4 linked regions of the Rhinolophus ferrumequinum genome follow. The protein of the gene in region 3 interacts with the protein of the main gene of each other region in a pairwise test. Links are inferred from orthologs where the notes say so. Each region holds a gene or a part of one and is shown on either strand. Other genes may lie near its edges. The genes, in order: ZBTB9, CAMK2B, MORF4L1 and L3MBTL3.

What was found.
Region 1: the proteins of MORF4L1 (region 3) and ZBTB9 interact in binary tests that used the Homo sapiens proteins (3 or more experiments, as listed by UniProt). The two-hybrid records come from large-scale screens. The link is inferred for Rhinolophus ferrumequinum from reciprocal best matches to the Homo sapiens genes MORF4L1 and ZBTB9.
Region 2: the proteins of MORF4L1 (region 3) and CAMK2B interact in binary tests that used the Homo sapiens proteins (3 or more experiments, as listed by UniProt). The two-hybrid records come from large-scale screens. The link is inferred for Rhinolophus ferrumequinum from reciprocal best matches to the Homo sapiens genes MORF4L1 and CAMK2B.
Region 4: the proteins of MORF4L1 (region 3) and L3MBTL3 interact in binary tests that used the Homo sapiens proteins (3 or more experiments, as listed by UniProt). The two-hybrid records come from large-scale screens. The link is inferred for Rhinolophus ferrumequinum from reciprocal best matches to the Homo sapiens genes MORF4L1 and L3MBTL3.

Annotation. Positions count from the first base shown.
Region 1 is NC_046286.1:3,764,108-3,771,111, reverse strand, and holds ZBTB9 (zinc finger and BTB domain-containing protein 9), read right to left. Parts: upstream 2,993-7,004; 5' UTR 2,732-2,992; intron 2,579-2,731; 5' UTR 2,504-2,578; coding exon 1,100-2,503; 3' UTR 518-1,099; downstream 1-517. Other genes in the region: SYNGAP1 (ras/Rap GTPase-activating protein SynGAP), read right to left, coding at 6,590-6,736. UniProt on the Homo sapiens protein: May be involved in transcriptional regulation.
Region 2 is NC_046303.1:208,214-215,931, forward strand, and holds the start of CAMK2B (calcium/calmodulin-dependent protein kinase type II subunit beta), read right to left. Parts: upstream 3,018-7,718; 5' UTR 2,763-3,017; coding exon 2,698-2,762; intron 1-2,697. UniProt on the Homo sapiens protein: Calcium/calmodulin-dependent protein kinase that functions autonomously after Ca(2+)/calmodulin-binding and autophosphorylation, and is involved in dendritic spine and synapse formation, neuronal plasticity and regulation of sarcoplasmic reticulum Ca(2+) transport in skeletal muscle.
Region 3 is NC_046311.1:885,969-893,136, forward strand, and holds the start of MORF4L1 (mortality factor 4-like protein 1), read left to right. Parts: upstream 1-4,165; 5' UTR 4,166-4,313; coding exon 4,314-4,353; intron 4,354-7,168. UniProt on the Homo sapiens protein: Component of the NuA4 histone acetyltransferase (HAT) complex which is involved in transcriptional activation of select genes principally by acetylation of nucleosomal histones H4 and H2A.
Region 4 is NC_046286.1:77,800,869-77,808,368, reverse strand, and holds the start of L3MBTL3 (lethal(3)malignant brain tumor-like protein 3), read right to left. Parts: upstream 3,012-7,500; 5' UTR 2,905-3,011; intron 2,230-2,904; exon of another isoform or gene 2,106-2,229; intron 2,050-2,105; exon of another isoform or gene 1,851-2,049; intron 1,194-1,850; exon of another isoform or gene 942-1,193; intron 1-941. UniProt on the Homo sapiens protein: Is a negative regulator of Notch target genes expression, required for RBPJ-mediated transcriptional repression. It recruits KDM1A to Notch-responsive elements and promotes KDM1A-mediated H3K4me demethylation.

The sequences.
Region 1 (7,004 bases), on a different chromosome or scaffold from region 3:
GTAGACGAGAGGCACAGGCTGAGGGGGGAATGCTCTCTGTTACAGGGGTTCCCAGGGGTGACACATGGAGCGCTCAACTTTAAAGTGTTCAACTACAACATAAACATAAAGGTGTTGGGAAGGTGTCTACTGGTGAGAAAGCAAGTTACACCCTGAGGGACTTCTGGAAAGACATAAGGAAAGTACATATTCAGAATTCTGGGGCCAGCCCGGTGGCTCAGGCGGTTAGAGCTCCATGCTCCTAACTCCGAAGGCTGCCCGCTGGATTCCCACATGGGCCAGCGGGCTCTCAACCACAAGGTTGCCAGTTCGATTCCTCGAGTCCCACAAAGGATGGTGGGCAGCGCCCCCTGCAACTAAGATTGAACACGGCACCTTGAGCTGAGCTGCCTCCCGAATGGCTCAGTTGGTTGGAGCGCGGGCTCTCAACCACAAGGTTGCCGGTTCGACTCCCGCAAGGGATGGTGGGCTGTGCCCCCTGCAACTAGCAACGGCAACTGGACCTGGAGCTGAGCTGCGCCCTCCACAACTAAGACCAAAAGGACAACTTGACTTGGAAAAAAGTCCTGGAAGTACACACTGTTCCCCAATAAAGTCCTGTTAGAAAAAAAAAAAGAATTTTGTTCACATTTCCCCTATGATGAGGGAAAGGAAACTTAGAGCTTAGCCTCTGAATTACTAAAGCTCTGAATCAAACATACCCCTAGGTGGAGACCAGCCCCTTTTACTCCTCATGGAGACTGAATGAAACATTTATCATTTTGTCTTCTTGTTCTAACTTTTCTCTCTTCAGATAAACTTCTAATGTGCAATCTGGTTTCCTGTATGAAAAGCAGGTCTATTGTGGGCAAGTGACCAATTTACATATGGCCTGTAAACCACTTGGCTAAGGGTGATTAGTCAAAACCTGGAGTGGGATGAAAAATCTGAGTTTCCAAATCTGCCAGGTTGAGGCCCACACCCAAGAACAAGAGTCCATAATGTATCTCTCCTTTTGGCATGATTACAAGATCCAGGACTGGGGTGTCACGGTAGTGAGGGGTAAGCGTCATCAGCAGCAGTAGCTCTCGTCCTGGAAGTTAGTGTATGGCCTCAGTGGTCACTTGTAAGTCCAGTGAGCAGTGGCCCAGCCCTGGCCCTTGCATAGGTCCTGGTGGCGAAGGAAACAGGCATGGACTCGGAACCGACGACCACAGTGGGGACAGGCATGCAGGGCTCCAGCATGGGTCTTCATATGCTCCGTCAGGTGGTGCTTCAGCTTGAAGCGCTTGTTGCAGATGCCACAGCCAAAGGGCCGAAGGCTGAAGGTCAGCATGATGTGCCGGTCACGCTTTGGCTTCACTGCAAACCGCTTCCCACACAAGCAACCAAAGCGTTTTCCATCTTCAGGGGGTGCCCCACCTAGCTTCACAGGCCCATGCACAGCCTGCCCTGCACCCCCAGGTCCCCCACCGCCTGACAGGATCTCATTCCCATGAAGATCCACGGGTTTCCAGGATGGACCCCCTTCCCCAGATGCTGCCCCTGCTCCTGAGGGAAGCAAGAACCCCAGCTCTCTAGTCCCTTCAGCGTCCCCTCCAGGAACCACTTTGGTCTCCTCCTTTACTCCTCCAGACTGAGTCCCACCTCCTGATATCTCCTCCTTAGGCTCAAAAGGTTCCTGCTTAACGTAGAAGATTTTGGGGTGCAGTGTGGTTAGAGGGGCAGGAGGTTCAGCTGGTGCACTCCCATCCTCCGGAAGCCTACAGGGAACGGTGGACATGGGCAGTGGGTGGGATCCATGAGTGCGGGGAATCCATGATACTCTCGGAGGCTGAGGAGTCTGAGAGAGTGTTGCTGACCCCTGGTCTTCATCATCTTCTTCCTCCTCCTCTTCCTCCTCTTCCTCAACCTGAATCTGTAGCACCTCTCCCAGTTCACTCCCCTCCCCTCCAAAGGGGCTCTCGGTAGAAGCAGAAGACTGCACTGGAGTCTGGAAAGAGGAAGAGTGAATGCACCAACCTCCCGTAGAGGACGTGGTGGAAAGAAGTGTGTGACAAGGGGTCGCTCCACGGGCTGACATTCCACCACCTGAGGTGTCTAATTCTCTCAGGATCTCTGAGCACTGATCTACTACTTGCCACATCTGGAGGCCACTGGCCACAAGGAGGTGGGCAGGGAGCGCATCCAGCGGCAGGCGGAGGCGCCCTGAATAAATGAGCTGGAGCAGCCCCTCGAAGGCATCAGCTTCAATGATGCTGGGCAGAGTGAGCCGTGGCGCGTCCCCCAGAAGAAGTTTGTCATGGAAGTAAGGAGAGGCAGCAGCCAGCACTGCTTTGTGAGCCCTAAGCTCCCGGCCCTGCACCAGGAGCGACACATCACAGAACTTTCCCTCTAGCCTGTGACGGTTCAGGGCTTCCAGCAGCAACGAGCTATGTTGAGGGAAGTCTATCTGGATGGTCCGTGGCGCTGGGTTGCAGATCGGGGACGGGGGGACCGGAGGCAAAGGCGTCGAGGTATCCATGGCCTCCTAGGAAGGAGAGATGTCTCAGGATCGAGAGCAAATGAGGGGCGTGGAAGACCCCACGCGGGATGAAAGCTGCGGTGGAAAGAGACGGGGGTCACATCGGATAAAGGGACCATATCACCTCAGATACCACCCGCCTCCCCACCCCCCATTTTCAGTGATGGTTGCTGCAGATCAGGCCCGCGCACATCCCCACCAACAAAACAAAAACAACCAAGCACCAACCAGGGGTTTCACTTCCAGCGCGTGCGGAACAAGATGAGGAGGACCTTCAGCCACGAGCCTGACCGACCCCCGGCCCTGGGCGGCTCCTGCCGCCGCTCCGTTTCCCCTACGGTGCCCACAGGGCGCGGCTCCCGGGAAGACGCGGCTCCGGGAGACCCCGAGCGCCGGCCGCGCCGTCCTCGTCCTTCCCGCCGCCACGCCCCCGCCGGTACACGCGCCGCGCGGCCGGAGAGCGTCTAAACCACCACCGCGCCGCCGGCCGGAAGCCACCTCCTCCCGGCGCTCGCCGACGCCGGATGCGGAGGGCGGGCTACGAACAGCCAATCGGAGGCCGACGGGCCTCGTGTTGATTGGTTGCGCGGGCGAGAAGCGGTGCTCGTCTCACGGCGGCCGCCGTTGCGGGAGGCCCGGGGGTCGGGCCTGGGAAGCGTTGAGCGGTAGGAGGGGAGACTAGTGAGCCGCCTTGGTGATAAAATGTACTGCGGGTGCCCAGCCAGGTGCCGAGAGGGCGAGATTAAGTGGGCACCTGCTGTGTGGGCTGGGCACTGGCCACATCTCCCTGGGTCCTACCCCTGCCCTGCGAGGTAGGTGTTGCCCTCCTGTTTTCTTGGGGGAGGGGAGGAGGGTGTCATGCAGGGTGGCATGCGGGGTCTCTGGCCCCGCTCCCCACATAAGAACGCAGGACATGATGAGGCCAAAAAGGAACACCCATGGAGCCCTAGATAGGGGAGTCATACCACTATAGTCTCACTGGCGGATGGGTTGGAGACACAGGTAGCAGAAGCCACACGCAACCCGCCATCCACTTCTCTCTCTGCCAACCAACCTCACTTGCTAACTGCAATCCGCCGTGCTAACTGCAATCAGCTCTCACCAGCTCAGCCACCATCTTGCTAGCCCCCATTTTCTGCTAGCATAGCCACAGCAGTTATATTAGTGGCCAATGGCTCACTGGTTACAGCTGATGGCCATCCGATCACAGTTGATGGCCATTTACTACCTGAGCCAGCACCCTTCCTCGTGAGGCCGAGAGCCTGGAAACTGCACTCTGGACTCTGTCCCCACAGGGAGAAAACCGAGGCTGGCAACTGGTGGCTCTGGCGTTGAAACCCAGTTTGCCAAGGAACCACGTTCTTTCCTCCATTCTGCACGGGAGCATTTCAACCAGCAATTAAACCTTATTTCTAGGTAATTTTTTCCCCAAAAAGATATATGTAGATATATACTTGGAATCTTTTATCAGATTCCTTGGCTTTACTCCTTGGGCTTAAGTGGGGCAGAGGTGAGGGGAGAGCTAGACTGGGTGTTCGGCCAGTGCAAAACCCTGTTACAAAACAGACAGCAGGTCCAAAATGGAGTCACCTGTGCCAAGCCCATGTCTGCAAACTAAGAATCAATACTTAACCTAATTGCAGTTTTACCCTGTCCCTCGAATGTAACCTTTAGGTCAGGGGGTGTCCAACTTTTTTCAGCGTTTTTCACCAAGGGCCGTATGCGGTAAAATACACACACAGCCGGGCCACTCACTCGAGGTGAAGTACGTATTGCCTCACCTGGTTTATTTAAGTAAACTAAATATATGTTTGGAATTTGCTGCAGGCCAATTAACAATGGATTGCAAGCCGCAGTTGGCCCGTGGGCCGCAGTTTGGACACCCCTGCTTTAGGTAGTCAACCTGGAATTACCTGCAGCTCTATAGTGAGGACCCCTTCTGTGCCCCTTAGGAGGGGGACCTTGCCTGCGACAATGCGTTCTTTGCTAATTCTGTTTTCCACCCCTTTCCACCTTTAAAAACCTTTCCTTTTCTGTAGCTGGGCTGAGATCCTTCCTATTCGCTAGACGGGATGCTGCCCAATTCATGAATCAGTGAATAAAGCCAATTAGATCTTTAAATTTACTCAGTCGAGTTTTGTTTTTTAACACCCCTGCTCTAAAACAGTAAATCTCACTGGATGGGAGAGTGGTATTCTAGGAGCACACTATGGCATCATGCAGGGGTAGTTTCTCCTAGGCTGTAAGCCCCCTCCCAAAAAAGCAGATCCGATCACTGTGCTGGTCCTGGAGGCCCCAGCCTAGGAAAATCAGCGTAGTGATAAAAGAACAATCTCCGTTTATTAAACATGATTTTTCTGTTTCACCACACACTCCAGAAAAAAAGGAAATGGGGCTGGGAGTGGAGAAAAAGGGACAGTGGTGGGGTAGAGAAGGCTGGGAGTGGGGCTGGGTGGGGAGGGAGAACGAGAAAACAAAATAAAACAGGTAGGAAGAGCATCTCCCTACCCTTAGGGTGGTGGGTGGGGAGGGTAGCATGGGGGGAGGGGGCCAGGAAGCTCTGTACAGAGGGGTTGCCCCCAGCCCACACACACACACCCCGGATATGTACAGTACAAACCCCAGATAATTACAACAGCCAAAGAAGAGAGGAGGAGGAGAGGGGGTCCAGGGTTGGGTCTGAAGTTGGGAAAGCAAGGAAAGGGCACAGGGATAAAATTTCACATATTTACAACTTTTATATAAGTATAAATTTGGCCCCGGCTGGGTGTACGTGTATAGGGGAAGGGGACTGAAGGGGAACTGTCCATACAAAAGAAAGAAGGATGGAGTCTGCGAAGTCTCAATACCAAACGCAAGAAGGGATGAGGGGGCAAGGCTGGGGAGGGGACAGCAGTCAGGGAAGAGGGGGTGTCAAGGAGGGGTTTCTCCCCTCCCATGACCTACCCACCCCAAGCCCCATCCATCCTACCTCCCCTATCCCGCCAGAGAGCTATGTACAGAGAAACACCGAAAAAATTGTGGAGCTGGCGGGAAGGAGGGAGGTGGAGGGAGATTGGGGTGGGGGGAGGATGAAAGGGTGGCCCAGCCCTGTCCTACCTCCCCCTGGGGGACAGAGTCATGGAAGGGGCCCCCCAACACCCCTCCTCCAACACAGGTCCCCCCACCCTGGGGGAGAGAGACATGGCTTTTCCTAGAGTAAGTTCCCTCCTCCCCCTGGGAGTAGAGACCAAGAAGGGGGGGGCAGGGGGCTGCGTGTGCCAGGGTAGGGCAGACCAGCTAGTCTGTCCTCCCCAACACACACCCCCCCCAAACCCTAACCCCTCACCCTAACCTCAATTCCACCCCACCCAACATACTGGGGGAGGGGAGGGCATAAGCCCCCTCACCCCGCTCTGGGACCAGCCAAGAGCAGATCAGGTGTGGGAAGAAGGGGACACAATTCCCCTTCCTCCCTTGCCGCCCCCTCCCTGCCCCGGTGGCCCCTCCACCCCATCTGGGTTCTGGGTGGGGAGGGAGTAAATTTAAGAGTGGTAGGAGGAGAAGGAGTTTGTGCGTGCTGAGCCCCCCCAGACGCTCCTGAGAAATCAAGGGGTAATAGGGCCCCCTCACCTGGGGTCCCCTCCCCATAACAAGGGGGACAGGGGAGGCCAAAATGGGGCGGTGGAGGGGAGTTAGATTGTCAGCTCTGGTTACTGCTAAAAAATCACCCTGAAGTTGAAAGTTTGGAGGTGCCACACCCCCAGGGTGGGGGCTAGGGTCTGTCCCCCAGTGCTCAGGGGAACGATGAGGCAGAGGATGGGGATAGCACCCCGGAGTGAAGGGGTCTGTGTGGGGTAGGTGGTGTCCTGGGGCAAGGGTCCTTGGTGGGTTACAGGGGGCAGCACCCCAACAGGAAAGAAAAAGGGGCAGCTAAGGGTCCCCACTCTCCCTCCTGGAAATGGTGCAGTGAAGGGGGGAGACTGGTGCCCCCCAAGGAGGCCTTCAGGGAGCAACCCCGCTGTCCCTCGGCGAAGTCCAGTCCTGTTGGTTGGTGCTGTTCAGGTGGGGTGCATGGTCAGGAAGAAGGTGTGTGATGCTGGGTGGCTAGTGGTCCGCGGTGTTTCGGAACTCGCCGTTCTCGGTGATCTGCAGCCGGGGTGGGGGGGGCGGGGCTGGGGGGGCCAGGCCGTTCCAAGGTGGGGCCAGCGTCACACGCGGGTTTGTTGGACCCAAGGGGGGAAGCTGCCTCTCCTGCAAGACACCAAAGAGGAGAGCGCGGACTTATTGAGACGCTTCGAGGGGGCCTGGGTGCCAGCCCTCTCTAGTGGCCTCCCCCTTAGCCAGCCCGCTCCAGATGCCAGGTCCCACCCCTTCCCTCAGGACAACCCCAACCTCCCTCCTATTTTGTTTCTCACCTGCAGTAGAAGTTACATCTTCTGGGCTCAGGGAGAAGAGAATCTTACCCCCCGTCTCCTAACAAGGGCCTTCAACCCAGGGAAGCACACCAGGAAACCAGTTC
Region 2 (7,718 bases), on a different chromosome or scaffold from region 3:
AGAATCCTATATATTAGTTATGGACACTTCCATCTGTGTGTAAATTAACCAAAAAAGGAGGACAAACGCCACGAGCATGACAGCAGCTGGAGGAAATGGCGCTTCACACTGATCTGTGATGCTTCACGGCTTATAACTTATAAAAACAACTTAAAGCCAAAAGGGCAATCGAGGAGGGACAGTTTTAAGTTCTGGGCAGAACAGACACACTACTCCGGGAAGTGTTCTCAATTTTAAAAATCCACCCATGGGGAACATAATTTGGTGGTTACCAGAGGGTAAGGGGGTTGGGGGGTGGGGGATGAGGGTGAGGGGGATCAAATGTATGGTGATGGAAGGGGAGCTGACTCTGGGTGGTGAACACACAGTGTGATTTATGGATGATGTGATACAGAATTGCACACCTGAAATCTATGTAATTTTACTAACAATTGTCACCCCAATAAATTTAAAAAATAAAATTAAAAATCCACCCAGATTAAAATCAAGAGAAATCACATTAAAACCACACTGCGGGAGGCTCTGTGCTGGGCTGAGTGTCCTACCCAGCTCTGTCCTGTCTGGGGACCCCCAGCTCGAGGTGGCTCTTAACCCAGGACATGGGTCACGTCAGCCCGGCCCAGCCGGACAAAGGCAGGGCCCCAGAAAACAGCTCCTTTGGCCCTCGGACCCTGTAGTCCAGGCCCCAGTGGACAATGCCTGGCAGTTGGCGGGGGTAGAGAAAGGGATGAGGGAGACCGGAGAAGCTGGCAGCCACGTCACAGGGGCAGCTGTGGGCCAGTGGCCTGGCCTTCCCAGGCAGGGCGCTCAGCGTCATCTGACTGGTGCCAGGGGCTGCAGCTTTAAATAAACTTGGACACATCCACCTGGGCCAGGAAGCAACACCAACTGTGTCTCTGGGAGGCCAGGCACTGTCAACAACCAGCCAACATGGCCACTGAGGACCCCAGCCCTGGGTGGGGTGGCTGAATGCCCAGTTCCTGCAGTCACCCAGCAGGGCTGAGCCTCACACCTGGGGGCGCTCCACAAAGGGCTCCAGGCCTAGCTGAATCCCTGTTCCCCTCCCTTCCTCTCAGGCCCTGCCCCTCCCCCCACACACACACTAGGCCTCTTCACCCACTCAGGCCGGGGTAGGGGTGCACCTGCACTGTGGGGGCTGCCACCCGCTCTGGCTCCCCAGGACAGCCCCAAGGACCCCACTTCCCAGTGTGGCTGTGGGTGGCAGCTGCCATGCTCAGCACTCACTGCTGGGACCAGAGCTTCACAGGAATGTGAAGCCAGGGTCATCCAGCAAGGAAATGGGGGCTCACAGAGAGGCAGCCCTGAGGGTGAAGAACAATGTGAAGTCCCCTGGAAGGGATGCCCTTCCTCCCACTGCCGCCCCCAGCTGGTGTCGTGGGTGGGAACCGGGGAAAGCAGACCCTGCCCTTACCTCTGCTCTGTTTCCAGGTCCAGCCGCCTTGGGGCCCGACACCCAACCAACCCCACTCAAGGGCAGGGAGTTTGTGGGTACGCCGCCCAGCCTTGGCCCCACCATGGGCCCCTGCAGGTCACCCCGCAGCCCCTAGGCCTGGGTATTTGCACCCCAGCCTCCTCCCAACTCCGCACCCACAATCATCAATGGTCAGCATGCACCCCAAACAAGGTGTCAACACAGACATTTGTTTAGAAAGAGAAAGAAAGGATCCGCCGCTGGGTGTGTAAGAGGAAACCTCCGCAGCTGGGATGGAGGACGATGGAGGAGGACGGGGCTCATTGGCAGCAGGCTGGGGTAAAGCCCCCCGATTCACGGCGCCAGCAGCCCCGGCCACAGAGAAGCGCCTGACGGGCTTCGTGATGCAACCCCCCCCGCAAAGCCAGGGCTCAGGCCCTACACCCTTCACATTGGCGAGTAGAGCCGGGAGCCACCTGTTCCCAGATGTGGCCTTACCTGAAAGGAGCCTTCAAACACCTCCCCACCGGCCCCCACCTACCTCTAGGACTCTGAAATCAGGAGCCCCCGCAGGCTCCCCACCTGACCGCCTTATCTCCAGCCCAGTGACCTAACCCCAGTTCCCTGACCTCGGTTTCCAGCTCTCCAGACTCCTCCTTCCGGAAGGATCTCGGGAAAATCCCCCAGAACAGATTCCCTGGGGGACCCGCGGCATAGGTTGTTCTCACGCGGCCCAAAGCGCAGCGAGCACCCCCGCCCCACGACACCCGCGCGGATGGAGCCACGAGGAGGAGCAGGCGCCCAAGCAGGTCCTGCCGCCCCCGCGCCCAGCCGCTCAGTGGGGGTGGGGACAGCACGGCCCACACCAGGGATGACCCTCGGCCCCGGCTGCCCCCTCCCTCACGCTCCAGGACCCAGAGCTGCCCAGGCGCGCCCCTCCTCTCTGACCTCCCGCCGCCAAATGCGTCACGTCTGCGGGGCGCTCGGGGGACACCTGCTGCCGCCCCCGCCGCACTGATCCCCACGTCCCGAGCCGGGGCTTCTGGCTGGGCGACCTCGCTGAGCAGGACCAGGCAGGGCCGAGCACGCGGAGGTCCGGCGACCTGGCCAGGAGCCCAGGGGTCCGGGCCTCGGAGCCGGTGCGTTCCGGGCCCGGAGCCGGTGGGAGCCGGGGGCGCGCCGGGCCGCAGTGCGCCCGGAGCTGGCGGCGCGGAGGTCCGGGTGTCCGGGGTCCCGGCCCCGCACGCACGCGCCGCGGCTCTTACTTGCCAATATCCTCGTAGAGCTGGTACTCGTCAGTGAAGCGGGTGCAGGTCACCGTGGTGGCCATGGCGGAGACGGACGGGCTCGGCGTGCGCTCTGCTGCGCTCGGGCGGCGGCGACTCCGGCTCCCGCTCGCGGGCACGGCGACGCGGACGCGGGCGACACCTCGGCTCGCAGCGCCAGGAGGGGGCCAAGCTGGGCTGCGAGCGCACGCGAGATCTGCGCGCTCCGTGCCCGCCAGGAGCGCGCTGCACACCTACGCGCGGGGAGCGCGGGCGCTGCTGTCACCGCCGAGCCTGCCGTGCCTATCCCGCCTGCCGCCCCCTGCGCGAGCCCCGCACCCGCGCCCTCATCCGCACCCGCGCCCTGCACACGCACGCGCGCGCGCGCGCGCACACACACATGTGCCCTGAACACAAGTCCTTGGAGCTCAGGGCCACGCACAGAACCACAGCCGGCTGCGTCTGCTGGCGACCCTCTGCGCGCGCGCACACAAACGAGACCACACAGTGAATCCAACCCCCTCTCGCCTTAAGGCCCACCTTGCCCAGGACTGCGAGAGGGCACTGGGCGCACAGGGGATGGGGGCACGTGTGCTACGTTCCACAGGATTCATCCCTCACACCCCTGGGAGGAGACTCTGTACTGACCCGTCCGCACACCGCATGGTCCTGTCACCCCCAAACCAGAGTGCGCACTGGAGATCCTGGGGGTGGGAGGTGAAAGGTTGGAGGCTGCCCCCTGCCCATGGTCCCAAACGCTCCCTCCCTCACTCCTCCTAGCCTTGGGTGCTGGGGTGTCTGCACTAGAGGTCCCAGCAAGGGGGCGGTTGGAGTTCAGGCCCAGGGTCCTTGAGTCAGGGGAACTCGTGTCCTGAGCCCCTGCTGGGGTAGGAGGACACATTCTCCCCTGTGCCAGGCGTCATCCACCTGCCTGACCCCCACCTCCTCTGGTCTGATAGAAGAGGGTCCATCCTGGGGGAGGAGGAGGAGGGAGCACGAGGGCTGGCAGGAGAAGCTGGCTGACCCCAATTTTCCACAGAAGAATCTCCCCCAGGGCCACGCCCAGGCTGCCGCCTAGAATGGGGACTTCAGATCCAGAAGAGGACCCACCGGGATCTGGTACCCCCACACTCCCTGAGCGGCCGGGGCCAGGGCCCATCCTGGACTGGCCCTGAGGAAGGAAATTTTCAGCTAGCTCTGGACTTGGGTTGCCTGGCTGCCCTGACGTGAGCCACTGACAGCACGGCAGGTAGGCTCCCAGTGGTGGGCACTTGGCCTGCCCTGCTCCTGCTCATCACTCACCTTGGTGGCCAGTCCAGGGCTGGCCCCAGAGGCCACAATAAATGTTTCCTGGATAAAAGATCACATCGAAGGGATTCTGGGGTGGAGGCAGCCAGGGCCTGCTCCACCAAGTTGCCTTTGGCACATGGATATCGGACAGATTAGCAGACCAGGTGGGACCAGTCCAGGTTCTGCGTGCTTTTGCAGACCCAATTTGCACCCAGAAGACAGAGGCCAAGGATAATCGGGTGAGTCCTGACTGGGGGCAGTGAGGGGCCTTTGGGGGCATGGCCTTGATTGCAGCAGGGTTGGCAGGATGGGAGACCACTGCCATGCCACGGTGCTGGGACCAGAGCCCTCAGCTGTCCTGACAGACGATACCCACCTTTCCTGTGAGGCCCCTCACAGACCAGCAGAGGCTTGCTCTGGGGTTGTGTTCAACCCCGCAGGAGCCTCTCCCCCAACATGCTGGGCCATCTGCGTGGTTCTGAGCTCACAATAGAATGCAAAGAGCAAACAAAACAAAATTGCACCCCTGGGCAAATCAGTCTCTCTCCAGGCTACAAGTAGACTCTGGGTGCTGCCAAGGTCACACACTCGTACCAGCGCGAGTCCATGCCATGATGAAGTGACATTAAAGGCATGACGACGCTGATTTGCTTACCTGATTCTACATGAATTATCTTATTTAATCCTCAAACAATCCTAGGAGGGTTATACTATTACTATACCCATTTTATTAGAAGGGAGAAAGAGAGAGAGGTGACACAGCTAGAACATGCTTGGGACTGAAACCCCACTGCTCTACAACGCCTCGTCTTATTTTCACACACTCGCACACTCACACATACACACAGTAACACACATGCATGGCTTCCACAGCAGCACTCTGGGTGCTTTGTTTTGAGGTCCCTTTCCCTGGGTGAGGAGGCTGCCCAGGTCCAAGGTTATACAAGAAGTCAGGGTCACCAAAGGGGTGCAGTTTGAGCCCCCTTTTCTCCTGTTAGGACCTGAAGTTCCCTGCGCAGTCCCTCCCCTGGGCTGAAACATTAAAGGTGCGACGCAGAGCAACCTTGAGGGCAGAGCACCATTATGGGGAACGGCTGAGCCTCCAGAGACCCTGACAGTCCTACACAGCCCAGCCCCTCACCCCACTCACAGAGCAACTCGCTCCCCACCTCCAGGCCCAGAGGGCTCCTCCCCCGCAGAGTGGAAAAGCTAGAAGAGTGAGGGGCTGCCAGCCATAACTCTTTCTGGGGCTGCCCAGAAGGCCTCTCATCTGGGTTTTGCTTCCCATCCCTCCTTTTGGAAGGGACCTCTTCCACCCGCACCCCCATGTCATCTCCGCCTCCCCCCTTATCCTTTCTAGCTGGCTTTCATCAGTGAGGAGGGCTCTCCCTCCCAGGTGGCAGCTGGGGCGGGTGTGGGGAATATCAGCTCTCAGTTCTGGGAGGTTATTGTTAGGATGGTCCCCATGGCAACGAGCATCACATCTGCAGAGCCAAAAGTGCTGCACTGGGGCTCAGTCCCCCAAGGAAAGCCATGGCATCCTCTGTCCCCTCACCCCCAGGGGCTGCTGTTATGGGAGGGATGTCACTGCCACCACCTCTCTCAGGCACAGTCATCTGCCTGGACGAGCATGCTGCAGTTCCCTAGAGCACAAAGATCCCAGTCATCCATGTCCAATCACCTGGCCCATGATGTGGCAGCCCATGCAGGATGCTGTGGCAAACATGTGGGAGGACGATTTGGTAGTGATGGTGATGATGATGGTGATGGTGGTGATGGTGGTGATGGTGGTGGTGGTGGTGGAGGTGATGGTGGTGGTGATGTGGTGGTGATGGTGGTGATGGTGATGGTGGTGGTGGTGGTGATGGTGGTGGTGATGGTGATGGTGGTGTGGTGGTGATGATGGTGGTGATGGTGATGGTGGTGATGGTGGTGGTGGTGGTGGTGGTGGTGATGGTGGTGGTGGTGGTGGTGGTGGTGGTGATGGTGGTGGTGGTGGTGGTGGTGGTGGTGGTGATGGTGGTGGTGGTGGTGGTGGTGGTGATGGTGGTGGTGATGTGGTGGTGATGGGGTGATAATGGTGGTGATGGAGGTGACAGCGAAGGTGATGGTGGCCAAGCTATAATTTACAATGTACTCACTACATACTGGAAAATCTGAAGGTCTAACACCCACCACCTCATGTAAACGTTATAGCAACCTTGCAAGATAGGGGCTATCGTTAGCCTCCTTTTACAAATGAGGAAACTGAGGCACAGAAAGACTGTAACTGGGCTCAGGTCACAAAGCCAGTTTGTGACAAAACCAGTATTGGCACCCAGATCTGCCTGACTTTATATCTGCTACCTTTAGCCACTGTGTCTGCTCAAGGGTGACTACTGGCCTTGTTCATGTGGTTACTGTGTGCCATTTGTGCCTGGCTCTGCCCAGCACCGAGTCACACTTGGGAATGAGGTGGGCTCATGCCGAAGACCAACAAGAAACAAATGTAAAAACACTGAGTAGTGATTTGCTGGAGAGTGACAGGGTGATAACTTCAGAGTACGTGCCAGGGGAAGCCCCTCTGAGGAGGTGACATTTAAGCTGAGATCTGAATGACAGAGACACTAGGATAGGGGAAGGGCACTGCAGGCAGAAGCAGCCATGATGCAAGGGCTCTGTGGCTGGAGCTGGCTGGTGTGTTGGGAAAGAAGAAGGGGGGAAGAGAGGGCCTGCAAGGCACCGCCATGCTCTATCATTTGTTCATCTGCGCGTTCTGCTTGGTACCTGAGTCCCCCAAGGGAGTCTGAGCCACCTAAACACTAACAAACAAAGTGACAAAGCTAACCAGTTAGCCTGGGACACAGCGAGTGTCCGGCATGAAGGACATGAGGGGACAGACCTGCAGACCTCCTCTTTTTCACTAGGAATCCAAGCCCAAGGTGGGCAGCACTGTATGCAAAAGACCATACGCTCAGCGTACAGGCGTCCCTGCTGGGCCCGCTCGCGGGCAGGGGCTCAGCCCTGCTCCTGCCACCTCTCCTGAACCCCTCCCCGGCCTCTGGTTGACTGGGACCCCCTCCCCAAGCCCCAGGCCAGTGGCCTGTTCTGGTCCAACTCCATCGCATCCCTCCTGGTTGGTGTCACCACCATTCTTCTGGAGATGCCTGTGACGCTGGGCCCCAGAAGTCCAGGCTTTGTCCCAACCCATCTCTCCGCCGACCTTGTATTGGGCTCACACAATTGTCTCCCTCGACCAGGGCTGTTCAGGCAGCATGACACCAGTGTCCCAAATAGCTAGGAGGGGCCGGGGAGCCACTCCCAGATTGTACCTCCTTCACCATGGACGCCAGGGTTTTGTTGTGGAAACTGCATCTTGGTGTGAGTCAGGAGACCTGCACTCAGGCCCCTCCTGTGCCCACCTGCTCACCTCCTACCCGTAAGCACACAGGGCATGCGTGCTGAAGTGGCTATAGGCCTGGGGTTCCCATCGCAGACACAGAGGACCTGTGTGTATCAGCCAAGGACTTCCCTGCCCCCAAGCACCCAGAGGGGGCACCTCTGCTGCCAGGGCTGGCTCTCTTCCTAGTGTTCCAACATAGAGACCCAGCCATTGCGTCCAGGTCCCTAGGAGTCGGATAGCGAAAAGGAGGATGGACTGTGGGCACTCATCAGCTTCTGGCCACATGACCCTCCCCTGACACCCATCGGCCAGAATCTAATCAAGACTTCACTTAGCTCCAAGGTGCTGA
Region 3 (7,168 bases):
AGTGTGATACCTCCAGCATTGTTCTTTTTTTGTTAGGCTTGCTTTGGCTATTCAGGGTCTTTTGTGGTTCCATAAAATCTGATGATTTTTTTGTTCTATTTCTTTTAAAAATTCCATTGGAATTTTGATGGGATTGCATTAAATCTGTATATTGCTTTGGGTAATATGGCCAATTTAACTATGTTGGTTCTTCCAATCCATGAGCACGGAACGTCTTTGCATTTCTTTGCTACATGGTATTTTCAATTGATTTCAGAGCCTGCTTTAGCTTTTGAATCATCGTCTATTGTGTGAACAACAGGGCACGGCCGAGTAGAACACCGTCGGGCCCTAGAAAAACCCCAGGAACCTCAAAGCCACACGGGCCGAGAAGGCCCCTTTTCAGCCGTGTTCTGGTCTCCAGTCTTCTCTGCTGATGGCGCAGGCATTCCTGCTTGTGCATCGGGCACACGGGTGTCGGGCACCCTAGGTCCGCGCCACAGGCGTGTACTTCGCCCCGGGATCTCGGGGTGAACTGGCTGTTCCCGCTGGCGTCTGGTCTTGGCGGGGGTCTGGGACCACCTGCACCCGCCGCTGCGCCGCGACCGCTAGAGGGCCGTTTGTGCCTTTTCTGAACAGTAAGTTTGTGCGCGCAGAACCAGGCATGGAACGCACATTTGGAAGTAGTGAAAAACTTTACTGAAAACAATTATTAAAAAAAAAAAAAAAAAAGATGCAAAAAGTCAGTTTCAGAGCAAGTTAAAATAATCTTATTCCTTTGAAGTGAGCTAGGAATGGCACATTTCCTGACTGCCCGGCTAGCTCAGTCGGTAGAGCATGGGACTCTTAATCCCAGGGTCGTGGGTTCGAGCCCCACGTTGGGCGGCGGTTCGTTCAGTTTTGTTTTCCAGCTGCATTTTAGGTCTCGTCAGCGGTAATCATTTTTTACCAGCTTCAGTTCTCGTCAATGGTAATAACGGACTTCAATCTGGAGTCTATTTTCAAACAACACAGGACAAAAAACTACTAAGATTGAACAGATTAAAAGAGGGAACCGTGCAACTATAAGGCGATTTCATCTTATAAATACACAGTTAAAGGCTATCTGGTGTAGAGAAATATTTGTCACCGGGTGGTCTATTGAAGGACAGTGGAGTGCCAAAGGTCAGGGAATAAGAAGACAGGAAAAATAGTGAAACCGTGGCGTTCCTAAATATTGCGGAAGTGATCTCTGTCAAAACGTTTGAAATGTGTTTTTAACTTAATACTGTGAGATATTGAAGGTTAATTTGGAGATCAGCTCTACTTCACAGGATTCACTGTGCATATTAATTTCACATTTGTAAATTCCTTTAAGTAAGGACTAGTGATTATTATGGGCTGTTTAAACCACTGTAATATTGTGTTAGTTAGCTAGTCAGGTGGCTCTTGTGAACAGAACCTTAGGACTTTTTTATCCTTTGTTTTCCCTAAGTTAGTAATTCAAACTGAAGAATTTTCCCTTGGCCATTTTTGTCTTAAAACATATCTCAAAACAAGTAATTATATTTTCCTACATGTTTTCCTAAAAGAACTCAATTTCTTGTGGCAAAACTTTGCTTTTAGGTTAACACCTGCAAATTCTTTCCTTGTCTTATTTTCCATCATTCTCAGTAATTGTCAAGCATTCTCCACAATTACCATATGTTATTATCATCAATTCAAACACAATTTTAGACTTTGGAAGAAAGACATGGAAATTTTCAGCATCAAAAATGAAGATCCCTAAGTACCCCTATTACAGAGTAGTCCTTCATCGCTAGGTGATGGGAGGTGAAGTAGAAACTTTCTGAAGGCAACCCATGGCAGAGAGACGCCAGCTGGTGAGAGGTCAGGGAAGATGTCACATATCCATTTCACGTTGAAGACCAGCATTATGGGTTGAATCGTGTCCTCTTAAAATTCGTATGTAGGATTCCTAACCTCTAGGGCTTCAGAATGTGACCTTATTTGGAAATAAGTTTGTTGTAGATGTAATTAGTTAGATGTGGTCATAGTGGAGTAGAATGGGCTCTTAATCCAGTTTGACTGTTGTCTTTATATAAAGGGGAAATTTGGAGACAGACACACAGGAGAACGCCATGTGAGGATGAAGGCAGAGATTGGGGTGATGCTTCTACAAGCCAAGGAAACCAGAGATGGCCAGCAACCATGGAAGTGGGGAGAGGCACGGAACAGCGTCAGCCTCACAGTGGTCAGATGGAACCAACCCTGCCAACACCTTGACTTTGGACTTGTAGTCTCCAGAATTGTGAGGCAATACATTTGTTGTGTAAGTCACTCAGTTTGTGGAACTCTGTTATGATAGCCCCAGAAAACAGATCTTGTTACTGGTGCTAGGTTCCTTGCCCCTCTCAGGGTAGAAATCAAGAGAGTGGATGAAATAGTTTTGCAGAGAGAAAGGTTTATTAAAGCGAAAGCTTGATGTACAAAGGGAGCAGACTCCAAGAGAGAATGGATGTGGCTCCCTGAGGTTTACAGATACAGCAGGTTTCTAGGCTCTTGGGGTTGGGAGTCACCCCTTCCTCTCTCTCCCTCCCCGCCAAAGTTTGTTGAGGTGGGTCCTTTCCTGCGCCTGTGCAGTATACCTACAAGCGCTACTTCATTGCAAGTTTCATCTTAAATCTCCGCCTTAAGGTTTTTTTTTAATGTGATAATGAGGAAAAGTTAACTATACCGACAGCTCTTTAGTGTGCATGTGCTACTTTAGAAACTTTCCCTGGGCCGCTCATCTCTCCTGCGATTTTGGTTTTGTTATCTCCTTGTTTCTTGTTGGCCGTCCCTGTGGCTCAAGGATTTTCTCTTCAGGTGTAGGCTCGGCCACGTGACCACCCTACGTGATCACCAACTACAATATAATCAGTGTTCTAGTGGGTGGCAATTTTGATTGTAATGTTTTTTTCCTTATTAAGTAATTGTTATCTCCATTTCATTTAATTTCAAAAGCCTTGGGAAAAGCACTGGTTTTGTTTCGATGTTGGGGGAATGGGTGGGTAAAGGACTGAGGTGGGAAAGAAACTTTTCATTGTCTTCATTTTTATATTTTTAAAATTATGGATTATTGAATTTGAATTATTTTGAAGTATTTTGTGTTCAAAAGAAGAGGTGTACGGGGCAGTTTTGGTGCGGTGGGTGGGGTCACAAAGAGGCCCTTGCCTCTTCCGTTGATACTCTGCGGACTAGGACAGACAAGATGGTGTGTAGACAACTGGAATGAGGGTTCTTTGTGGGTGTTCAAAGAAGGGCTTGTGTTAGGAGGAAGACTGAAGGAGAAATAGGAGTCAGAGAAATGGAGAGAGGTCTGCAAGTAGTGGGGTGCTCAGCCGTTCGGGGAGTTGAGGGAAGCCATGGAGATAAGCTGAAGGCCTGGGGGGATGTCGAGGGCCTTTGGTGGAATGCCTTTGAGGCTTGTCCTCCTTCACGTTTGTCGAGCGAGGAATTCACTGTTAGGCACTCAGCCTTTTTGTGCAATTCTCACAATAAGTCGATTCGGCAGCTGAGCAACCTAAGGCCTTTTGAATGTGTGGTCAGCCGTTCACGATGTGTGTGTACATTCAGTAATAGCTCACAGAAACTTGACAAAAGGCTGCGCACGTGGGGCGGTGGGCACCCGACTCGGAGGAGGGTGTTACAGGTCGTTATTCACCTCGGCCTACTGGGAAGGCAGGTAGCGCGCCATCGTCTCCTGCCTCCCGCCGGGTGGGCTCTTCAAGCCACGCGCGGGCTGGCAGCGAGCTCGCAGATTGTGGCCGGACCGCGGGTCCCCAACGCTGCCACACGCACGCGGATACCCCTAGAGATGCCGTCGGAAGTACTGAAAGTGTTTAGACGCATCTTTCCTCGTAGGCCTTTCATGCCACATCCTGCTGGCCCGTGTCGCCCGTGGGGTTGCACACTGGGTCTTTCCAGCTCGTTTTCGCTGGCGAGGGACCGCCTCCAGCACCGCGCCCCAACACTGCCCCGAATCAGTCCGGGTTTCACCCACCCGGGTTGCGGGGCTGGGGGATGAGGGATGGGGGATGGGAGGAGCCCCTCCCCGCCCGCTCAACGGCTGGAACTACCACTTCCAGCATGCCCCGGGCGGCGCGGCGCAGGGCGCGTGCGCGGTGGGCGGTGGTTGGCAGGCGCGGCTGCGCAGTCGCGGCTGTGTGAGGTGTGCAGGCGCCGGCAAATCGCGCCCGGGATCTAGAGCTGGCGCTGCCCACGGCGTCTGACGCGGAGCTGGGTGGGCTGGAGAGTGGGGGGCGGTAGTGCGAGTGGTGGGAGAAGGAGGAGGCGGCGGCGAATCCCTATAAATGGCGCCGAAGCAGGACCCGAAGCCTAAATTCCAGGAGGGTGAGTCTGGGCCTTGGGAGAGGCATCTAACGGCGGCGGGGCGGGCGGGCGCGGCGGGGCGGTGGCGCGGAGGGGCCGAGCGGGGCTTCGTGCAGAAGCGCATTGCGGCGCGGCTTTGGGCGCGGCCCGGGCGCAGCGCTTTGTGAGGCGAAGGCGCTCGGCGGGCGCGGCGGAGCCTCCCTCAGCGTGTGTTGTGTGGGGGCGGCGGCGGGAGGGACGGGCGCCATGGCGGCGCGGAGGCGGCGATGTGGCGGGAGGGGCGCGGGCCCCCGCGGGGCGGACAACGGCTGGCGCTCGGGGTCGCCTCGGGCCCGGGGCGGCGGCGTTGGCTGGAGGCGCCGAGCCGCGGCGGGGCGGGCGGGGCGCCCGGGCTGGGGAGAGCCGCGCCGTGAAATGGCCGCCGCAAGATGGCCGCCGGCGTCGCCCTGCGCCCGCCTCCGCGGGGCGGCGGCGGCGGCGGCGGCTTTGTGCTGCCTGCAGGCAGCGCTTGGCGGCCCGGCGGTCGAGTGCGCTCTCGCCGGGCGGCTGCTCGTGAAGAGAAAGCCGCTCGGATGGTGTGTTACGAGGCGTCTGTTCACGAACCCTGGTGCCCTCGCGTCATCCTTCCAGTCCGCAGTGGACTCACGGCGGTGGCGTTTGACTAACTGGTTAGGAAGCTGAGTGAGTTTGGATTAATTGGCTTTTGATCGACGAGGTTTTGGGCTGACGGCAGAACCTGCCCTGCAGCGGAAGACAGCCCTTTGAGTTCACGATTAACGCGTCCGTTACCGTGTGTTCAAGTGGAGACGTCATAGGAAAGGAAAATGGAAGCAGAGACCTGTAAACAAGCAGGGACGCTCTGAAACGTACCTCGTTGCTGTGGATGTGCGAGCTGCTTGAGCACAGATGTCGAGACGGCCGCAAAACAATGTCTTTTGTTGTAGGGGTTTTCAAACTTGCGTGTGTTTTAGAATTACTTTTAGAGTCCTATGTCCAAAGCCCAAGTATTTTGTAACTTTATGGAATATTTAAGAGGTTTTTAAGGGTATTTTTGATAACGATGGGCTCCTAATAGCCGCTTTCTCCTACCTTGAGAAGCTGGGACTACCTCCTATGGGTATATATATATATATATTTTTTTACTTGTTATTTTAGAGCAGGATTCTTATTCTAGTGGATGTAATTCAGAAGATTCGTGAACTTGGACGGGAACATTTTTTTATTGTCTAACTGAAAATTATTTCAATTAGGAATATAGCCCCCCCACACACACACCAAAAAAAACCCGTGCGGTGGGATTGTTACAATTCCTGCCTCTAGCCGTCTGCCTCAGTATTAGCAATATGTTTTCATATCGCAACGTTACCGTTGCAGAAGGTACATTCAGTGTCATTTATGTTCCTCATTACTTCAAAATTATGCTAGTTACTGGATCAGTAGCTAAATGTTTACTATATCAGTTGAGCTCACGTAATACAGAAAATGATATTTAAAATGTTTTGCTAACTATTTCAATATAGTTGGTTTCCTGTCATACTCTGTGTTTATGTATTTATAATAACATTCTGGAAAAAAGGCCCATATGCTTCACCAGATCGTCAAGGGTCGATGATACAAAAAGTTAATCCCTAGTTTAGGACATCAAAGGAGGAAAATCACTGAGGATTGGAATTGTCGGGTAACTTTCTGAGGAGGAAGTGCTTTAGTTCTGAAGTAGGGGGATGGCAGCGTGAGGGGAATAACAGCAAATGAGTCCGTGTGCTGCAATAGTGGTGAATTAGAGAAGAGTGGAAACCAGGGTTCCCTTAGGTTTTTGAAAGCTACCTAAGAGAGTCTGCCTTTACTATCACTTTACAGATGTGTTTTCTTCTCCTGTCAAAGCTGAGTTGTATAATAACCATCGTTAAGAAATTATCATTATTTATATGACATGTTCAGAGGATATGTCGTAAGGAAAAAGGAATGTTATGTTAGTGCTGACAATTGTAATAGAACACTGCAGAAGAATTGAGATTATGTAATGGCGGAAATATGAATTATTAGAAGTATGTTTTTCATGATTCCTTTATTTTTTTTTATTAGAAGTATGTTTTTCATGATTCCTTTCTTTTTTTTTTTCCATGATTCCTTTAAAAACTCATTTTTTTCTCATTTAAACAATGGTGCAACTTACGTTATATAAGCAATTTTTAAAAGCACATTTTTTTTGCACTTGGTCTTCCACTTGAAATTCTGTTAAAGCATATGGTAAAGAAACTCGAGCACCTGGCCCATTGTCAAAGGGAAGGCCCTTTGCCTTGTGTCAGGAATTAAGAGACTGGCTAATGCTGGCCTTTGAGTTCCTAGTAAGCACAAACCAGTGGGCGAAAGGGGGTTTGGAATCTTAATTAACCTTGAATTTGAGAGCATTGGGCAGAATTACCTTTGTAGTTTGATACTAAAAAGGATTAAGAGTGGAGAAAGGTTTTTTTTAAAAAAAAAACAACATCTAATACGTGGTTTTCCTCTTTCTCCCGCAATTACCAGTCTTTCTTTTTACTACTTCATGAAAATCAGGCATATGTTGTCCTGGATCATAACTCTTCAGCCAGCCTATATTTTTCAACAGAAGATTTAGGGCCATGTAGCTAGAATGGAGGCCAAAGGGCTTAAGCCCAGTGCATTTGGTGGCGGCAGCCAAAAGGATGGTGAGGAGGAAGGCCATTTTCAGGGTGCTTTTAAAGTGTACCTGGAGAGGAGCTATGAGCCACAGATCTGAGCTTTGGTGCTGCTGTTTATTAGCTTATTTACATCCCCATGGTCTCCTTGCTCACAATATTCAACGGTGGCTCTAGCC
Region 4 (7,500 bases), on a different chromosome or scaffold from region 3:
AAAGGTCTTTTTCATTTTTTCAGTTTTAAACACATATTGTACTTTGTACTTTTACTAACATTCAAAATGAAATTATCCGCTTTCTCCTGATTAAAAGTTGATCAAATGTATAGACAACCATAAATAAGAAAAAAATAGATTTCTAATCCAGGGAGTGACGAAGCTCAAAGTCCAAAATAAAAGCAAAGTATTTTTCCCATATAAATAATAAGGAATGGAAGTTATAGGGTCTGGGTCTTTAGAATCAATTTGCTCCCCGATTTACTGAACATTCTATTTCTGATCAGCATCCTTTCACACAACATCTGGCTGCTAGCTCAGGTCCTCTAATTACTTCCACGTCTGAACGGACCACGTAGCTCCAAGTAAAGGCCAAACTTTGCTCTCGGCCTTCCGAACTTAAAGATGCGTTTAACCACTAGAGGTCTCCCCTTGGCCAGTTTTGCACGTTCGCTATTTTGCTGCACTTGAAACTTTCCGGAGAAATGCTCTACTCGAGTCAGTGTTTTTCTAAAAACTTGCGCAAAAATCCACGCGACCGAGCTAGCCAGTACGGAGACTCGCGGGCTCCCAAAATCAATAAAGATATCACAAACAACGCTCTAGTAAAAACAAAATTAAAAAATCGACGCACTCGCCCCGGCCACCCCCCTCCCCGTTCTTATTTCTCATCTGTTTCCCTTAACTTAAACTTAGAACAATTAAAAATCTATTTTTGTTTCTGTGCACTTTGAATGATCTCTAATGCATTTTTCTGGCGGTAGACCCGAGGTGGTTAAGGAGCGGGCCAAGGGATGCAGGGAGGGGGAAGGGCCGAGCTAACAGCGCCGAGGAAGTTGCATAAGGAAAGAGACTCCGTTTTTTGGGTCCCCTCAAAAAATCGGCGGGGAGGGGGAGGAAAAGGAAGCGGGGGGAGGGAGGGAAACCGAAGCGACGTTTACCTTCGTCTCCCCGTAGAAGGGTGGGGTGAGAGCCACGGTCTGAGCCACCCCGGAGGGCGACTTGTTACCCCCACCTTCCTCGGAGCGCAGACGGACAGATACCCCCACCCCTCCGCGGGGAAGGTGGGGAGGAGATCGTCCGCTTTTAAACTTTCTCTCACGGTCGCACTGTGGGCCGTGCTTTCACCAGAGGTGGGGGGGGAGGATTATAGGGCCTTTTTTTTTTTAAGGTAATTAAAGTTTTACCACCAGCACTAAAGTTGCGCCCTCCCCCAGCCCATGCCACCGTACCCCGCCCCCCGCCTCCAGGACTCACAAGTTTTCCTCCCTCTCCCCCCCCCACACCAGCTCGCCCGGCGCGCGGCGGATGCCGCGGCTCCTGCGCTTCCCGATCCCCACCCCCGTCGGCCTCTACTTCCCCCCGCCCGGCCGCCGCGGCGCGAGGACGGCCCGCCGGGCCCAGGACGCGAGTGTGCAAAACCCATTATTCCGGAATGGCACACGCACGCGGCTCCAGGCCGGCAACGGCCCCACCTCGGACCCCTCTTTGCCTCCCCAATATAAGGACGGCGTAAACAAGTTGCAGGAAAAGCAGCCCCGCGCCTGCCCCCCCCAACGCCGCCCAGGCGCGGCGGTCGCCGCCGCCCGCCGCTACCGCCGCCTCCCGACACACGCCCGCACCCGGGCCGGCGCGGCGCGGCAGGGCGCGGGGCAAACGCCGCGACGGCGCGGGCTCCCGGCCCGGCCCGCGGCCCGCGCCTTCCCCTGCGCGGACGGCCGCGGCGGGCCCGCGCCGCCTCGCTTCCCGAAGCACTTTCCTGCCTCGGGCAGAAATAAACCGGAGGGTTTATTTTTGTGCAACTTTCCCAAAATGGCGGAAATTGGAGCTGATCTATATGAAATTCTCACACAGTCGGTCGGGAAGGGGGAGGTGGCGAGGAAGAAAATGCAAACTCTCGGCCGCCGAGCCCCGCCGCGGGTCCGTGAGTGTGTGCGTGCGTGTGAGTGTGCGTGTGCGCGGTGGGAGTCGGGGAGGCCTTTCCGCCGTGCACACACAGCACACGCCGGGGAGACGCGCCTGCACATTCAACCAGTCCATTCTCCGCAGCCCAAGCGGGGAGAAAGTGGCCCGGCCTCTTTTCCCACTGCCTCGGTCTCCCGTACTTGTACTTCTCGCGCTCGCTCGCTCGCTCGCTCTCCGGTGCGCGCTCGGCACAAAGGCCACACGGGCGGAGGGGGCCGCAGGGGCGGCGCGCGGGGCTCGTGCCTCCCGCCGCACGGATCCGCGGCCCCAGCCGCCCCCGCGCCCCCCGCCGGCGCCCCCCGCCTCGGCGGCTGCGCTCGCCGCCCGAGCTGCGGCTCCGCGGCGCCCACTCGGGCACGCACCCTGGCGGAGCCCGGCGCCGCCGCGCTTCCCCCACCCCGCGCCCGGTGTCATGAAAGCGACCAAAGTGACAAGCTCGGGGGGGCGCGGGGGAGGGGGCCCACACGCATCCCGCCGCCTGCGCGCCGGCGAGAGCCCGACGCGGCCGCCTCGCCCCGGCTCCCTTCCGCACGGCCCCACACACCCTTCCCCGTGTGCGCGCAAAGAAAAAAATACAAGTCTCTCCTCCCCCCATTTTTTCCTTTCTCTTTTCTCTCTCTTTTGTTCCTCTTTCACACTCGCACTCACTACTTCAGAGTGAGATGCACAGAGACTCCCCCTCCAGCCATTTCCGAGTCACTTGCCCACTTTTCCCCCCAGGATTAAGTTTTCTCCTCTTTCCCAGAGGCGCAGAGAAGTGGGGGAGAAACCCCTTCTGTCCTTTCCCCTCCCCTGATCTGTTTCACAAGACGAGGGTGCGCTTCCTTCTCTCTATAGGTCTCTTAACTTTCATCCTCACACAGAAAAATAAATGAATGGCCTTTGCACGGACAAATCTTCAGATTAATTAGAGATTAGATCCGATCAAACGCTTCTTACCCCCAAAATTTCTCTTTTTTTTTTCTCCGTCTCACGAGTAGTCCTGACAAATGGTCCAGGGCTGCGGGCGCAGTGCGCATGTGCGCGTAGAGTCAGGGCTGGGGAGAGGGGAAACTGCGCTGGTGCCGGTGCCGCCGCCGCAGCCGCCGCCGCCGCCGCTGCCGGGGAGGCTCGCTCTGGCTTCCCTCTTACTGCTGCTGCGCCTTCGCCGCTGGAAAGCAGCAATAAAGCCGATTGGCAAATGCAGCTGCCCGCAGATACTGTTTCAGGTGCATCTTTTCAATATCCTTGTCACTGGCTCAGAGCTGGTTCAAGAACAGTCAAAACAAATCTGAAAGACAGCTAAGGTTATAGATTTCTTTGTCTATTTTTCACTTTACTTTTTTAAAAAGACAATTCTCAGAGCAGCTAATCCACCACGTACTGTTCAATGTATGCATTCAGCCATTAAAGAGTGGGCCTTAGTCTTATACAGACACTACCCAAAGGCTAAATGCATGCCACAGGTCATGAAAAATATGAAATAAAGTTTTAAGCTTTTACGCAGTAGAACCTCCCTCTCTGTAGGACTGGAAGAATGCATAATAAAGTATGCGTGTAAAATGCGTGTTCTTTCCGTTTCTTAAGTGTTGGTCTCTTTGACGGCTTTTAAACATGTTAGGCCTTTGTTATGAAGTACTAGTGTGTTGAGATCCGTACATCAACTTAGAAATCAGTGTTAAAGTACCTTGGCAATAAGCAAGTCGAAGACTGCCTTTTAATGTATTCAATCAAGATGGCTGAGCGGTCCTAAATAGCAAAATCTGCCTTTGTTAAGGCATCAAAACTAGATTAAGAGAGTACTGTATTTCGGTATTGACAACTTTCCATTTATTGACTGTAGGCCTCCTTTGGGCAGCTCACCATTCTCCTTTTTTCCTAGGTACAAGCACTTACAAAATAATTCAAACAATTGAAGTTATGATAACCATCTTAATGTCAATAACAGAGTTTGCTGTGCAAGAAATAAAGTAGCCTGTGTGATTTCAGGAATGATGGAACCAACTCTTACATTTTTGCAGCGGTGGGAAAGTAAGGCAGAGGCCCCAGTCCCTGAAACTGTACTATTTATTTTGTATCTAATAAAGAGTAAAGGAGGCCCTTATCTGCAATTGCTGCCTGAGGCCTAGAATTGAAATATATCACAGATGGAAATTCTGTATTAAAAATCCTTCTCCAAAATGTAAGTAATATTATTCTTGATTGAATTTTTTTCACTTAAGGAATGTTCCTTGAACCAGTTTCAGAAAATAAACTGTTAAATTCTTTCCTCAGGACCATGAAATTACCCTAGAGAAGCAGACCACCAGACTATTTCTTCTGTTGGTCTAATGAGGGAATTCTCCAAGTCAAAAATCAGGACATACGTGTATGGCTTGATATGTACTCAAGAACAAAGGAACAAACACTGTAAGGTTGAAATAAGCTTATAAAATATGCTTCATATGTTGGGAAGCCTTTGGCTTAGGGGTGAAGTGTGGAAGGCTGGGTTACTGAAAGCTATAGATAATCTCATACTGCAAGTTAACTATTCATTTCACCCACCACATCCAACCTTTTTCAGAGCTGCTCCCAAACAGCATTATTAATCTAAATTTCAGCTTCTCTCCTTTTCTCTCTAGTCCTTGAATAATGAGCACTGCAATGGCCAAAGGCCAACTACAGGAAGAGAAGGAAAGAAAGCCCACGAGCTATGTGCAAAACTAAGACCTTACCCCAAAAGAAACTAAAATTAATTTTAGATTCCTCTTTCTGAAAATCCATTTTAGATTCATTCTCTGTAGATAAGTTCTGGATGATATTTCTATTTCACATATATTTTCAGAGATGTTGGTTCAACAGTCTGTAAACCTATTAACGGCCTACCTTGTGCTAAGTGCTCTGCAGGGTGCTGGGGAAATAACACAAGATAAAAACTAAGCCCAAAAGAAGTTAGTCCGGCAAGAGAAACAGTCTAGTAAACTGGGCATTGCATTATAGTATGGTAAATACTGTAGTAGGGGTTTGCAGAGCAAGTACAACTGAGGAGCACCTATAGTAATAAGAAAAGGTTTTCTAAAAACAGTCATAGTTAAGCTGATTTGAAGGATAAGTGTCCAGGGTGTGTGCTTGCACCTTTCCTCTGGGAAGGTGATCCAATCAGAGAAATCCTGAGTAGAAGTCCAAGGGTTTGGAGAACAAGGCTTGCCTGGGGCCTATGCACTTACTGAAGTTCACTAACAAAAATCAGGAGGCTGTCTCTACATTGTCTTTCTCCTCAAGAGATCATCAATATAACCTCAAAGATTTCATCTCAGTAGTTGCCAAGATGTGGTTCAGAATAACAAATATTTTGAAGGTATTCATGTGTAAGAATAATAATGACTTTAAAGGCTGCTACCATTTTTCCTACAAAGAATCCTTTGGCGCCACCACTGTACACAGAGGCACAATGCAGTATTAGAATCTACATAGTACTGCGGTATTCTTCATTCGAACTGGTACTAGTCACATGACCTTTCTCCATCTGTTCCCTAAATGGTAGTATACTAGTGGAAGCATCTTTGCTTTCCTTCACCCTTCCACCATTCAGTCACTGGTTAGTAAGTCATGAATTCTTTCTTTCCGGCATCACTTAATCTCATCATTCTCTACCACTCTCCCCTCTTCCCATCCCCCCTGCTTTACCCTACCACACCTACAATACCAAATCCATCCTTCAGACCAGGTCTATAACTTCCCTGAAATTCTAAACTAAGGTCTTAGCTCACTCCTTTAGTTTCCTTTGTATTTATTTATTTCCAAACTCATTGCCCTCAAAGTAACTTCAGATTACTCCATTCCTAAATATTCGGAAGCTAAAATCATTTTCCATGGAAAATGTGTTAAAACAAATCTTCAGGGTTTCTAAGGCTTCTCACCACCTCCCAGATGAAGATCATTCAAAACCTCTCTCGCTGTACGCCATGCTGCAACCTTCACTCTGTCAACTTCCATTGAGAAACCAAAGCTCCCTTTTCCTAAAACTAAACTTGTTCTGCATTGATAGGACACGGAAAAACTCAAGGACAACCTCCTCCAGGAGCCAGCCCCTCACAAATGAAAAGTGCCCAGGAGTGAAGGCCAAGAAATTTTCATTCTAATCTGGTTCTGTCACCACCCACTGGGAACCATTACTGAGCTTATTTCCCTTTTCAGGGCTTCAATTCTCTCCTGAGTTCGATTAAGAAAACAGAGTAATTGATTTCTGAGGTCTCTTTGAAAACCATGTCCGTCCCCATACTTCCCACCTAACAGGACCACTATCACATTTTAGTACAAATAATGTGGAACCAAGAAAGGAATTTTAAGTAAGGAAGGAAAATCCATCCATCTGCTAGGTATCAAAATGTTATCAGTTTATAGCTCATTCAGTTGGTTTAAACCTGGTACTAATGAGATGAAGGTCATGGGTTCCATTCCCTAATGGCTAGTTAGTTTTGATGTGTTTTCATAGCTACAAACTTCTTTCCTAACCCCAGCCTCCCATGTTATAATGTGTGCAAGTTTTAAGGTAAAATTGAATCTTTCGTAGAAATTTCTAAATGAACAATATTTGAAATCAACCTTTAAATGTATTATCTTACTTTTAAATATGAGTCAAATTATTGATCTTTTTGGCCTACGTAATTGTGTGCTCCATGTTTTTCCAAGTATAAAAATGATGTTAACATTGATTTGGCCAAGATTCTTATTATTGATATTTGTAAGAGCTGAGTTTGATTTTCTTGTTAAGTGTTCTAGATAACACCAAAATGTTCATATAGGCACTCTAATTTGAATCCTGGTTATCTTTCTGTGATACATCTGCATACATTATGAGTACAGAGCTTGTGATAGTGAAATGTAATTGAAATGCTGAGGGTGAAAGGAAAAGGGTATATTATTCATCAGGTAAGGAAAGGATTATAATGTGTATCATGCTCTCAACATCTTAAGGAAATTAATACATAAAGAGCTTCTGGAGAGATGTGAATATTTATTATCATTTCGTTTACATGCAAAGGTAAAGATAGAAATATGACAGACATGTTCAAAGGTGTGGAATAATATGGGAATGTAAACTAACTCCTAAATTAAAAGGAAAAAGACAGGTTATAATTTTCCATAACATACGTACTCATTTAAAGCCCAAATCCAGAAGCCTTATAACTAAACAATGCTAGAGGCACAAGCCAGACTTGAGAAGATGTCTGTGACAACAGCCGCTGATACACTTAGATCCTGTTTAGAATGCTCTTTTCGTTTAACCTGGCCTCCTGGCCACAGCTGATTGGTCCAGGAGTGAGCATTTAATCCAATGACTGAATCGAGTAGCTAGAGGTGGACTATGAGTCAGCAGGGTATGCTTTCCCATATGACTGAAAATGATGAAATTGCACCAGTCATATTCTCACACTTGGCCATGTGAACTGGAAATACTGAAGATAAAGTCAGTTGATAGGCATTACAAAAACTAAACTATTCACAGACAGAAAAAGGTAGAGTGCAAGTTCATTAGCTATTAGGCATTACAAACTACCTAAGTAGAAATCATAA